Linked DNA regions of Schizosaccharomyces pombe. The main gene of each other region encodes a partner of the protein of the gene in region 3 in a complex. Each region holds a gene or a part of one and is shown on either strand. Other genes may lie near its edges. A codon is read from its position in the direction of its gene.

Evidence for each region.
Region 1: the proteins of rad4 (region 3) and sld3 are in contact, whole or in part, in a crystal structure (PDB 6HM3), measured with the Schizosaccharomyces pombe proteins. Residues at the interface, in NP_593190.1 of Schizosaccharomyces pombe: Cys14 (codon at 2,174), Thr15 (codon at 2,177), Ser16 (codon at 2,180), Ser38 (codon at 2,303), Asp39 (codon at 2,306), Phe40 (codon at 2,309), Thr41 (codon at 2,312), Lys42 (codon at 2,315), Asp43 (codon at 2,318), Thr54 (codon at 2,351), Pro55 (codon at 2,354), Lys56 (codon at 2,357), Phe59 (codon at 2,432), Arg64 (codon at 2,447); in NP_592946.2 of Schizosaccharomyces pombe: Asp629, Ser630, Ile631, Leu632, Val633, Gln634, Ala635, Thr636.
Region 2: the proteins of rad4 (region 3) and crb2 are in contact, whole or in part, in a crystal structure (PDB 4BU0), measured with the Schizosaccharomyces pombe proteins. Residues at the interface, in NP_593190.1 of Schizosaccharomyces pombe: Leu109 (codon at 2,582), Thr110 (codon at 2,585), Asn111 (codon at 2,588), Ile112 (codon at 2,591), Gly113 (codon at 2,594), Gln114 (codon at 2,597), Pro115 (codon at 2,600), Glu116 (codon at 2,603), Arg117 (codon at 2,606), Pro133 (codon at 2,654), Asp134 (codon at 2,657), Leu135 (codon at 2,660), Thr136 (codon at 2,663), Arg137 (codon at 2,666), Arg150 (codon at 2,705), Lys151 (codon at 2,708), Tyr154 (codon at 2,717), Trp158 (codon at 2,729); in NP_596748.1 of Schizosaccharomyces pombe: Glu181 (codon at 2,431), Val182 (codon at 2,434), Leu183 (codon at 2,437), Val184 (codon at 2,440), Pro185 (codon at 2,443), Glu186 (codon at 2,446), Thr187 (codon at 2,449), Gln190 (codon at 2,458), His191 (codon at 2,461), Arg192 (codon at 2,464), Thr193 (codon at 2,467).

Annotation. Positions count from the first base shown.
Region 1 is NC_003424.3:476,971-480,724, reverse strand, and holds the start of sld3 (DNA replication pre-initiation complex subunit Sld3), read left to right. Parts: upstream 1-2,000; 5' UTR 2,001-2,028; coding exon 2,029-2,070; exon of another isoform or gene 2,071-2,084; intron 2,085-2,118; coding exon 2,119-3,754. Other genes in the region: protein tyrosine phosphatase (M phase inducer) Cdc25, read left to right, coding at 1-975.
Region 2 is NC_003423.3:4,209,197-4,212,950, forward strand, and holds the start of crb2 (DNA repair protein), read left to right. Parts: upstream 1-1,770; 5' UTR 1,771-1,890; coding exon 1,891-3,754. Other genes in the region: proteasome regulatory subunit rpn1301, read left to right, coding at 1-83. UniProt on the Schizosaccharomyces pombe protein: Essential for cell cycle arrest at the G1 and G2 stages following DNA damage by X-, and UV-irradiation, or inactivation of DNA ligase. Plays a role in the response to DNA damage.
Region 3 is NC_003424.3:1,061,242-1,064,995, reverse strand, and holds the start of rad4 (BRCT domain protein Rad4), read left to right. Parts: upstream 1-2,083; 5' UTR 2,084-2,134; coding exon 2,135-2,200; intron 2,201-2,257; coding exon 2,258-2,365; intron 2,366-2,431; coding exon 2,432-3,754. Other genes in the region: DSIF transcription elongation factor complex subunit Spt5, read right to left, coding at 1-1,129. UniProt on the Schizosaccharomyces pombe protein: Essential component for DNA replication and also the checkpoint control system which couples S and M phases. May directly or indirectly interact with chromatin proteins to form the complex required for the initiation and/or progression of DNA synthesis.

The DNA.
Region 1 (3,754 bases), 580 kb from region 3:
CCAGAAAGCTCTGTTGAACTTGTTGAAGACGCTGCCTCTATTCAACGTCCCAACAGTGATTTTGGTGCTTGCAATGATAATTCTTTAGATGATCTTTTTCAAGCTTCACCCATTAAACCTATTGATATGTTACCCAAGATAAATAAAGATATTGCCTTTCCTAGCTTGAAAGTTAGGTCCCCTTCTCCGATGGCATTCGCTATGCAAGAAGATGCGGAATATGATGAGCAAGATACACCAGTGCTTCGTCGTACCCAAAGCATGTTTCTCAATTCCACAAGACTAGGGCTTTTCAAAAGCCAAGATCTTGTGTGCGTTACGCCAAAACAATCGACCAAAGAAAGTGAGCGCTTCATCTCTTCTCATGTCGAGGATTTATCTCTTCCTTGCTTCGCCGTGAAGGAGGACTCATTGAAACGAATTACCCAAGAAACATTGCTCGGTCTATTAGATGGTAAATTTAAGGATATTTTTGACAAATGCATCATTATTGATTGCCGTTTTGAATATGAATACCTTGGGGGCCATATTAGCACTGCTGTGAATTTAAATACGAAACAAGCTATTGTGGATGCCTTTTTAAGTAAACCTCTTACTCATCGGGTTGCACTTGTTTTTCATTGTGAACATAGTGCGCACAGAGCACCTCATTTGGCATTGCACTTTCGAAATACCGACAGACGAATGAATAGTCATCGTTATCCTTTCCTTTACTATCCCGAGGTTTATATACTTCATGGTGGTTACAAGTCGTTTTACGAAAACCACAAAAACCGTTGTGACCCAATTAACTACGTTCCGATGAACGATGCTTCGCATGTTATGACCTGCACCAAGGCTATGAATAATTTCAAACGAAACGCTACTTTTATGCGTACTAAAAGTTATACTTTTGGCCAAAGTGTGTTAGCTTCCCCAGACGTTAATGATTCTCCTACTGCCATGCATTCCCTCTCTACACTTAGAAGATTTTAATGATTTTAGGCTGACTCAATACTTTACCTAGCCTGAAGTATACTCTTATATATTCAACTTTCTAAACCTAAGTTTTTTCTATAAACTTTGAATCATGAAACCTTTTATTTCTATTTTTTATTATTATTATTGAAAGAAAGCAATATACCTTTTAAAAGGTCTCGACAACAAAAAATTTAAACTGGCTAAACTTTTCGAAGTACATCACTTTTACGACTAAATATCTAGAACGACTAGTTTGGTTATTATTATTACGCATGGATTTTGGTTTAATAATTGATTATTTTATAATCAATTGAGCTTAATAATTTCTAAGCAATCACGGGTAAACATACGTACCGAAGTCCATTCTAATTGCTCTTCTCGCAATTGCTGTTGATAGGAATGCTAAGAATTTAGCATTCTTTGATTGAAGCAGTAATGCGATAGGAACTGAGTTGCTTACGTTTTTGTAACTCTACCTAACCATCTCTGATGGAAATATTTAAGTAGAAAACGAATAAAACTTTTATTTTTAAATCACTTCCTTTTATGCATGTTCTGTAAGCGGTAGTATTGTAGCTTACCCTTTCCAATGGAAGGTTAAGTTCACCAGAGAGTTACGAAGTTTTATGTGATATAAAATAGTTACAATGCGGAAGTTGGACATTCACACTTAAGTACCTTCCCAAAAAAAAAATTACGAAAATTTTTAATCAATACTACTTTTTTGGTAAAAATTTAAACATGTTCCGTTGAGAAAGTGAATCATATGTGTGCTTTTTTAAAATTTGAAGATATTTGTAGATTTTGTTTTGTTTACTTTTTATTTGCAACAATCAGAATGTCGTCATCTAAGTCAACCTTAAATTCGCTTATATGAATTTTATTGATTATGACATCAACGCCCTATGAAGTGCAGCTTTGAACGCCAACGATTGTATTTAATACATTGTAGGATAAACCTCGTAATCATAAATAACGAATTGTTTAAGTATGAAAGTTTGCAGAGCACTTAATGTTCAAACAAACAAATCTTTTTAGGTACACTAATTTAAAGATTTTGGTATCTTTATGAATAACGACCATGCTTCCAAGAAATCATTTTGTATAAAGGTACTTACATTTTAAAAATAGTAAAGATTAGTTGTTGACATCTTTTAGGCTCCTTCAAATTGGGAAAAATCATATCTTGAAGTCTGGCCCTTAGTTACTGTACCAAGGCAGTGTATTTGCCTGCGATGGTGCATTTCAAAGGAATATCACGAGTTTACTTGCTCATCACTACAATTCATAGTTATAAGGCCAGCTGGCACTAGTGTTTTACTCGGACGTGTAAAAAGTTCGAAAGCTAATCAACTTGTTGGAATTGAACATGTGGAAGGGAGCCGTTATGCCTTGATTTTTCTTTCAGAAAAATTGGATTTTAAGTCTTTGAAGGTGATAGCAAATCATCAATTAACGAAATCCTCTAAAAGCTTGTCCAACGTCTCAAACAAACCTTTAGGAGATCAATTGTTCCGTTCGAACTCTTTAATGTCACCTAGTTTGTTAAAAAAGGAACTTCACAGAATTCAATCAGATGCTTCTCAAGCAAACGAACGCGAAAGCCAAGCTCCGCATTCATTCGTTACGCATGATCTTATTTCGTCTTCAAAAGATGGCAATTCCCTTACGCATGAATTTGCAAATGATTCCGTTACTGAAATGGTTCAAGATTATACTCCTAGCTGTTCACGTGACGTTAAATCTTTGTTGGACCATCTTTACAATTCCTACTTTTATCAACTATTGATGACCAAAACACCTGTTGTTTTTTATGTAAAGCAAATGGTTGGAAAAACTCGACAACTAGCAGTTGAAGTACACAATCATGTAGAAGAAAAAGCTCTAGTTGATGAACTGTTAAAATTTTTAGATAATCTTAAATCTGTCGATGACCGTAAATCCCGATTACTTCAATGTTTTGAATCACATTTAAACTATAAGGCTTGGCATTTGGAATTCGAAAATGAAGCCCATCAGTATGAGATTAAAGGCTATCGCCTCTGGCTTCAAAACATATTAAATCGAGAAAATTGTCAAATTACAAAACTTGACTTTGAGAGGGAGTTTTCCCAACTGAAATTGAAGGAGTATGAAATTCGTGTACTTTTATACTTTGAGATTCTATACCTTTTTTTAAAATGGGATCCTGAGTACGCAAGGCGTCGGGCTAATGATAACAGTTTGTTGGATTCTCGCGATAGTGGTAAACGAAAATCTCGGAAAAAAAACGCAAAAACGCTTAATCCTTTTGAAACTGCTCAATTAAAATTGGAATTTACATTTGATGGGCTTTGCATACGAAGGACTATAGAACAAAATGCTACCGAACGATCTGAGGATCTCTTATTGAAGTTTTGTAAGGAGACAATAGTCCCATATTACTCCTCTAAATTCCCTCGAATTACGCGCAACCTTTTAGAGAAATGTAACGGTTTAGATTTATTACCAGAACGCTCTCATAAGCATAGACATAGCGCTCCTCCTCGTTCAAAATTGATTAGTAGCAAATCAGAAGCCGGTCGCGCTTTACCTGGAAATACTTCTGGTGCCAGTATATCCAATACTTCTAGTCCTCATTCGGAGGCCTCTATCTCTAAGGATTATGAAATTCTTAAACGTCGAAGAAGCAATTCTGGGGTTCATTCTTTGACTCGGTCAGATTCTTCATTCAATGGTTTTGAGAGGGACACTAGAAGAAGGTCTTCCGATATAGCTCGCATCAAGAACCGTGAAATAAACCTTCCTTCTTCGT
Region 2 (3,754 bases), on a different chromosome or scaffold from region 3:
CTGCCAATCCTAATGAGGGAGGTGCTCTGCAATTTCTTAAAGCAATTGCTCGCTTCGTGAGCAGGAATAATGGTTCTGAGTAATGTCTTCGATTAAGTAATTCGTCGTATATCAAAAATTTCTATTTAAAATATTATCCGTTGAATCGTTTCTTTATAATTCACTGACGATTCGTATTAAAAGTTTTTAAATTGAGCATTACTGGCGTTCTTTTTTTTTTTTTTAAATAAATATGGAGGAATTAAAATGCTTTCATGGTAGGATTTGTCCTCTTACCAAAATGAGTAAGAGTAAGTTGGAGTACACAATACAATGTTGCTCGCTCAAAATGCTCTTTACAGAATGTTTATTGGTACAGTTTCATTTTTTCTCATATATGAAATATTTGTTTTAGGAAATAGGCAATCTTTATTTTTCTTGCATACAATGCTTATCTTTCCTAAACACTTAAGATTTATAAATGCAATGTATGTTCATGAATATGAACTGCGAGCGCCAAGGATGAATTACATTAGGACGACTAAAAATGAGAAGTTGCACTCCCGAAGTATCTCTACTTCATACTTCATTATTATTTATGCTTTATATTGATTATTGTTGTTTTACAAAATATGTTTTATTTCCAAAACAGTTGGTAAAATGTAGGATATGTAATGTCAAATACATAATACCAACATCTATTCTTAATAAGTTAGAAAGTTGAACAGTATTGAAATGATTTACTAAAGCTAGAAAGTAGCCAACTGTAAATGGTTAAAGTATTGACGTGTAGTCACATTCAATTTTTGCGCAATATCATTGAATTTCAAATCTAACGATTTTACTTTTGTAAACAGCCAAAAAAGTGGTCATAAAACGGTCAGGGAGGGACTCGAACCCTCGACCTCACGATTAACAGTCGTGCGCAATAACCAACTACGCTACCCGACCTCGGTGTCATCCGTTACATTTAGTAATATATATTGTTAAAAAAATAAAGCGTAGTAAATGTAATTGCTTTTTTGAGCTATGGCTTGTTACATTCTTTCTCTTGAGCAAATTTAGACTTGCTCATTACAATCATAATCGCTTTATAACGTCTATCTGCTTGTCTTCATTTGCATGAAAAAAAATCATATAAACAATGTATGCGGATAGTCAACTCAAACAAAATAGTAGTAATTAAATAGCAATAATAAAGAAGGAGCCTACAGCACCCCGGATTCCCATGTTGTCTCCAACCATAGTACTAACGAGGCCCTCAGACGCTTAACTGCAGTGATCGGACGGGAACTGGTGTTTTCGCCTAGGTATGGCCGTAGACAGCTGTTAAGTTTTAATAAAGTATATAAACGATAGTTATCACTCATTAGGAATTCGAATGTATGTTGGCTCCACTACGAATAAGATATGAATGTTAGCAATATAACCTGAAACTATATTTGACATTCTTTTTTTAGAAATATCATTAAACAAGCAAAATCTATTTTCTATGATTGTTTCAAAAAGTCAAGATGAAAAGTTCAAAACTCAAATTTAAAATTACTTCTTCAACATTACTGATTCTAACAACATAAATCTCCTATCGAACGTATTAATAAAAGTGGAAACATGCTGTAGTTTGTACATCAGGTCAAACAATTATTAATAAAATTAGAAAATAAGTTTTTCTACCTTGAGCCCTTCATTTCCATATTAATATATATATATATATGATTAGCCAAATAGCTGGTGTTGTAACTAAACGTTCTTAACTGCTTTCATATAAAGTAACGGTGCAACGTGTTACTTATGCAGAGCTTACAACAGATAAATCGAAATTTGGGTTAAGCCCTGGTTAAATTTGTAGTTCTGACAATTGTGAGGTATTTTAGATGTTTTCAATATTTTGTTTGAAAGTTTAACAATATTATGGAGGTGAATGATACCTCTTTGCATAAAGGATTTGGCCTTGACATAAATTCTCAACGTGTATTTGGAGCACAAGCAGCAATTTCTCGTAACAATTATTCAAAAGTGAATGCTTCAATTAATCCTTCCCCTCCTAGGAGTAATGATAATTCTAATAAGGAGTTTAGTTATTCTAAGGATGTGAATAACAATGGTGCTGTTGAGGAGCTAAGTCTTACGCAGTTGTTTGAAGTACCTAGTCAAGCTGCTTTTGCAAAACAGAGTTCCCAGGACATTTCGGATGATGAACTTATTCAACATGATTCTCGTAAGGTGATATCGTCGCCTTATTCACCCAAGCAGACACATACAGTGTTAAAACGCTTATACGATCGTCAATCAGTTATATCGGACCATGAAAAGCTGTTGACTCCTCAGAATGTATCTAATTCTTCCCAAATTCTTTCCCCATTTACTTCTCTATTACCATCAACTCTTTCAACTTTAAAAGATACACCTTTGTCAGTTTCTCAAAATGAGAAAAACTTAGAAACCGTTGGAGAAGTCCTTGTACCTGAAACCGTAGCTCAACATAGGACAAAGTTTTACGATTACACTTTGGATGAGATGGAAAATGAGACAGAAAGCGGTCAAGTAGAGACTACACCTACTCGACTGGCGACTTCTCTAGGGTCTCCCGTTCTTTATGGTCGAGTAGAGTCCACTCCTCCTGCTTTTTTACCAGAGACATCCGAAAAACAATATAAACGAAAATTTAGCTTTACTGAGCCCTCGTCTGAAAAAGTTGATAATACGGAAACCAAGTTTTCAAAAAAAACTAAAAACATTAATGATGAAAACTTTCCTAATCCATTTAATGTGATTTCTTCATATGAAACAAGTGCTTCACCGTCGACTGTAATAGATCAGTCTAGTCAAGTGAGCTCAATTTTTGTAAACAAACGGCTGAGAAAATCGGTTAATAATCAAGCTATCTCAAGGTCTGACAGCCTAAGCCTGGATACTCCTAAAATTGATAGTTTATTCACTAGGGCTTCTATTAAGCCATTAAAACCTTCCCAATCACCGAATTCAAGAAGGTCTTTTAAAAACCGTGTACTCGCTTTTTTTAAAGGATATCCCTCTTTTTACTACCCAGCAACTCTTGTCGCACCCGTACATTCAGCCGTAACAAGTTCCATCATGTATAAGGTTCAATTTGATGATGCAACTATGAGCACGGTTAATTCAAATCAAATTAAGAGATTTTTTTTGAAAAAAGGAGACGTTGTACAATCCACAAGATTAGGAAAAATCAAGCATACTGTTGTGAAAACATTTCGATCTACTAATGAGCAATTATCCCTTATAGCAGTGGACGCTCTAAACAACGACATGGTTATTTTGGCACACGGAGAAATTGAGGTTACGGTTCCCATTTCTACTATTTATGTTGCTCCTGTGAACATTCGGCGGTTTCAAGGAAGAGACCTCAGTTTTTCTACTTTAAAAGATATGAAGTTTGAGGAAACATCATTTCTTCCTTCACATGATTCTCAGAGAAACCGCTCTTCTTTGAAAGAAAGGGATTCTTCCTTTGTCAAGAAGAACTTGGATTCAGAAAGTAATCAGCTCATCTTTGACGATTGCGTGTTTGCATTCAGCGGTCCCGTGCATGAGGATGCCTATGACCGAAGTGCATTGGAAACTGTAGTTCAGGATCATGGAGGATTAGTTCTTGATACAGGCTTACGCCCTTTGTTTAATGACCCGTTTAAAAGCAAACAAAAAAAGTTACGCCATTTGAAACCTCAAAAGCGAAGTAAATCGTGGAATCAAGCTTTCGTTGTATCTGACACATTTTCTAGAAAGGTTAAATATTTAG
Region 3 (3,754 bases):
CATCGGAATAATCAATACGAGGAACTATACGTACACGTGCGGTTAAACCATTTTCTGAAAGGTTGTCAACCTGAGCGAGATCACCGGCGTACTTTCCACGGCGTATACGCACATATGCACCAGGCAACAGTTCAACAACCTGTTTTTGAACTTTGAGTAAATCCGGCATTTCCTTAATTGGAACTAAAATCATGTTATTTGTATAAACATTTAAAACCCCATTAAGTGCATCTAGAACATGTGATTGCTTTCGAGCTTCAACGTATATATAACCGACCAGCGAGTCACGTTGAAATGCTGAAATGATTTCTAATGGAGAGCTAGTATATTGCAAATCCATAGCTTTCCGCATTATGGTAAAAACAATATCCTTTTCTTTGCCAATTTTACAGCGAACAGCCCAAATATTGGGATCATTCACTGAAGGAAGTAGAAGACGTTGGGGAACATTGCTTGTATCTCCAACAACAGTTTGGCTACGACCATACTTTTCACGATACTCCTCAGCAAGGCGTTCAGCATCAACAGATTGTAGTTCCTGTCTTTGACGGTCAAGTTCACGATGGCGACGATCATCACCGACGTAATCCGCTCCAACTTCTTCTTCAATGAAACCATCTTCACGACCAATTTCATCTTCCTCATCTTCAAGCTCTTCCTCGTCCTCATCTACTTCTGCTTCAATATCAAGGAATTGGTTGCGGCGGTCATGGCGAGCCCTTTTTCTTCTACCGCCACCTGATTCATCTTCATCTTCCTCGTCTTCCTCATCATCTTCTTCATCCTCTTCTTCCTCTTCGTTTGCATCAGCTTCTTCCTCGTTTTCTTCAACATTATCCTCATCTTCTTTTTTGTCATTGTTATTTACATTATCGACTTCGTTTTCATTCCCATCTTCGCCTTTATTAATTGTGGTATCATTTGGACTTTCGTTATGGGAATCCACGGGAGAACTCTGTTTTTCATTTGTAGTAATTTTAGCAGCTTCAGAATCATCATTCAGCAAGTCACTTCCATTGGGGGATGCACGGGTAGAATTGATTTTAACTGAAGCAGCATCTTGCTCAGCTGCATCTACCTCAGTCGAATTTGCATCTTTATCAATAGATTTCGGAGAATTCGTATCCATTGTGACTTAAAAAAGAGGAAATAGTACCTATTCCCTCAATGCTTTGTTTTTAGACCTTTAATCTAATATAGGCGATAGGTTCGCCGATTAATGAACTTTTTATTCAACAAGTGGTGTTTTGTTAAAGGTGACTTACAGTACGTACTGCTGCCCTATTTTACCAAGCAAGTAGGTCTTGTATGGCTTGCAGCGACAAGAGTATAGATATACGAAAGAAGCAATTTAGAATGGAATACTTACGGTTTTTTTGTAAAATCAAACTTTTGCTTTAAAAGTATTTGCTTTAATGGTAAGCTTGAGCAATTGCCACTGCTGGTAAACAAACTTGTATACACGAAATGCCATACACAATCTTAAAGTTAGACTTGGTTTAATTGAAATTAAAGATAATGGGATGCTCAGATTATCAATAAATTCATCTTACATTTAAATTGTAATATTATGTTATATTCCATATAACTATGAACCCTTTAGGGCAATATCCCTTTGCGTTACTAAAATCCAATATAAATATTAAACTGGATAAGAGGATATTTTTTACCGAGAGAATATAGGACAAAGGTGGTGTCCATATACTATCTTCTTACTCAATAAATCTTATAATTATGATACAGGTTAAATGAGGAATAATATAATAGCCAGCTCTTGGTGCTTGTTCATAATTTCCCCCAAACCAATGATGCTACTCAGCTATACAGCATCGTGTACATTGCCAATACAGTCGAGTTTTTCGAATAAATGCTTAAAATTTAATTTTGGCCTTTTATGACTCTCCATTTGTCAATCTTCGCACCCACCACGGTAGCATATAACAACTTGGTTTTAGCTTCAATCTACTCTTAACCTTCGAAAGTCGATTTTCTCTAAACATTCTTTATTTTCCCTTTTAAACATTACCAATTTTTGCATTTCCTCACAATAATATGTAGTGGTGATGGACGCGTTTGTACTCGTAAATTACCTATACCTACTCACCTAGAACTCATAAATGTCGGTAGTGAAAGAATGGGTTCTTCTAAACCACTCAAAGGCTTCGTGATATGTTGTACCAGTATCGATTTAAAGCAAAGGGTAAGATTTTTGCACGACGAATCGCATTTTTTGTTATTTGTGTTACTAACTTGACAGACCGAGATATCTACAAAAGCAACTAAACTTGGTGCTGCCTATAGATCAGACTTTACTAAGGATGTCACGCATCTTATAGCCGGCGATTTTGATACTCCAAAATACAAGGTATGTCGTAAAATCTTACAAATTACACTATCCTTCAAGAGTAAATGCTGACATTCTTTTCAATAGTTTGCCGCAAAATCCAGACCAGACATAAAGATTATGTCTAGTGAATGGATACCTGTTCTTTATGAAAGCTGGGTACAGGGAGAAGATCTGGATGATGGCCTGCTCGTCGATAAACACTTTCTACCAACTCTATTTAAATGCCGGGTTTGTCTTACCAACATTGGCCAACCAGAGAGATCTCGTATTGAAAATTATGTGCTTAAGCATGGTGGTACATTTTGCCCTGACTTAACTAGAGACGTAACTCATTTAATAGCTGGCACCTCATCGGGTCGCAAATATGAATATGCATTAAAGTGGAAAATCAACGTAGTTTGCGTTGAATGGTTATGGCAAAGTATACAAAGGAATGCTGTCCTTGAGCCGCAGTATTTCCAATTGGATATGCCAGCCGAAAAAATTGGACTTGGCGCGTATGTTCGTCTAGATCCCAATACTACGGAGGCAAAGTCTTATTCTGAAAACCAAAAAATAAGCAAGAATAAAGAAAAGTCTGGTCAATCCTTGGCTGCATTGGCGGAGGAAGCGGATTTAGAACCCGTGATTATGAAACGGGGAAAGAAGAGAGATAGAAGTATTTTATGGGAAGAACTTAATAATGGAAAATTTGAATTTTCCAGCCGTTCTGAAGAAAATTCAGTACTACTGGATGATTTCACTCCCGAAACTGTTCAACCCTTAGAAGAAAACGAATTAGATACGGAACTCAACATCGAAAACGAAGCTAAACTTTTTAAAAATTTGACTTTTTATCTTTACGAGTTTCCAAACACTAAGGTCTCCAGGCTTCATAAATGTTTGAGCGATAATGGAGGCCAGATTTCTGAATTTTTGTCTTCTACCATTGATTTTGTCGTTATACCTCATTATTTCCCTGTCGATGAATTGCCCATCTTCTCATTTCCTACAGTTAATGAGTGGTGGATAGAAAGGTGTCTTTATTACAAAAAAATCTTTGGAATCGATGAACATGCCTTAGCAAAACCTTTTTTTCGTCCATCTCTGGTTCCTTATTTTAATGGTCTTAGCATTCATCTTACTGGATTTAAGGGGGAAGAACTTTCGCATTTGAAGAAGGCTCTCACCATCTTGGGAGCAGTTGTGCATGAATTTCTTGGGGTCCAACGAAGTATTTTGTTGGTAAACACAAATGAACCTTTCAGTATGAAAACTAGATTTAAAATACAACATGCTACAGAATGGAACGTTAGAGTCGTCGGAGTAGCTTGGTTATGGAACATCATTCAAAGCGGAAAATTCATTGATCAAGTTTCTCCATGGGCTATCGATAAGAAAGAAAATCAAGAAATAAAAAAATTTACA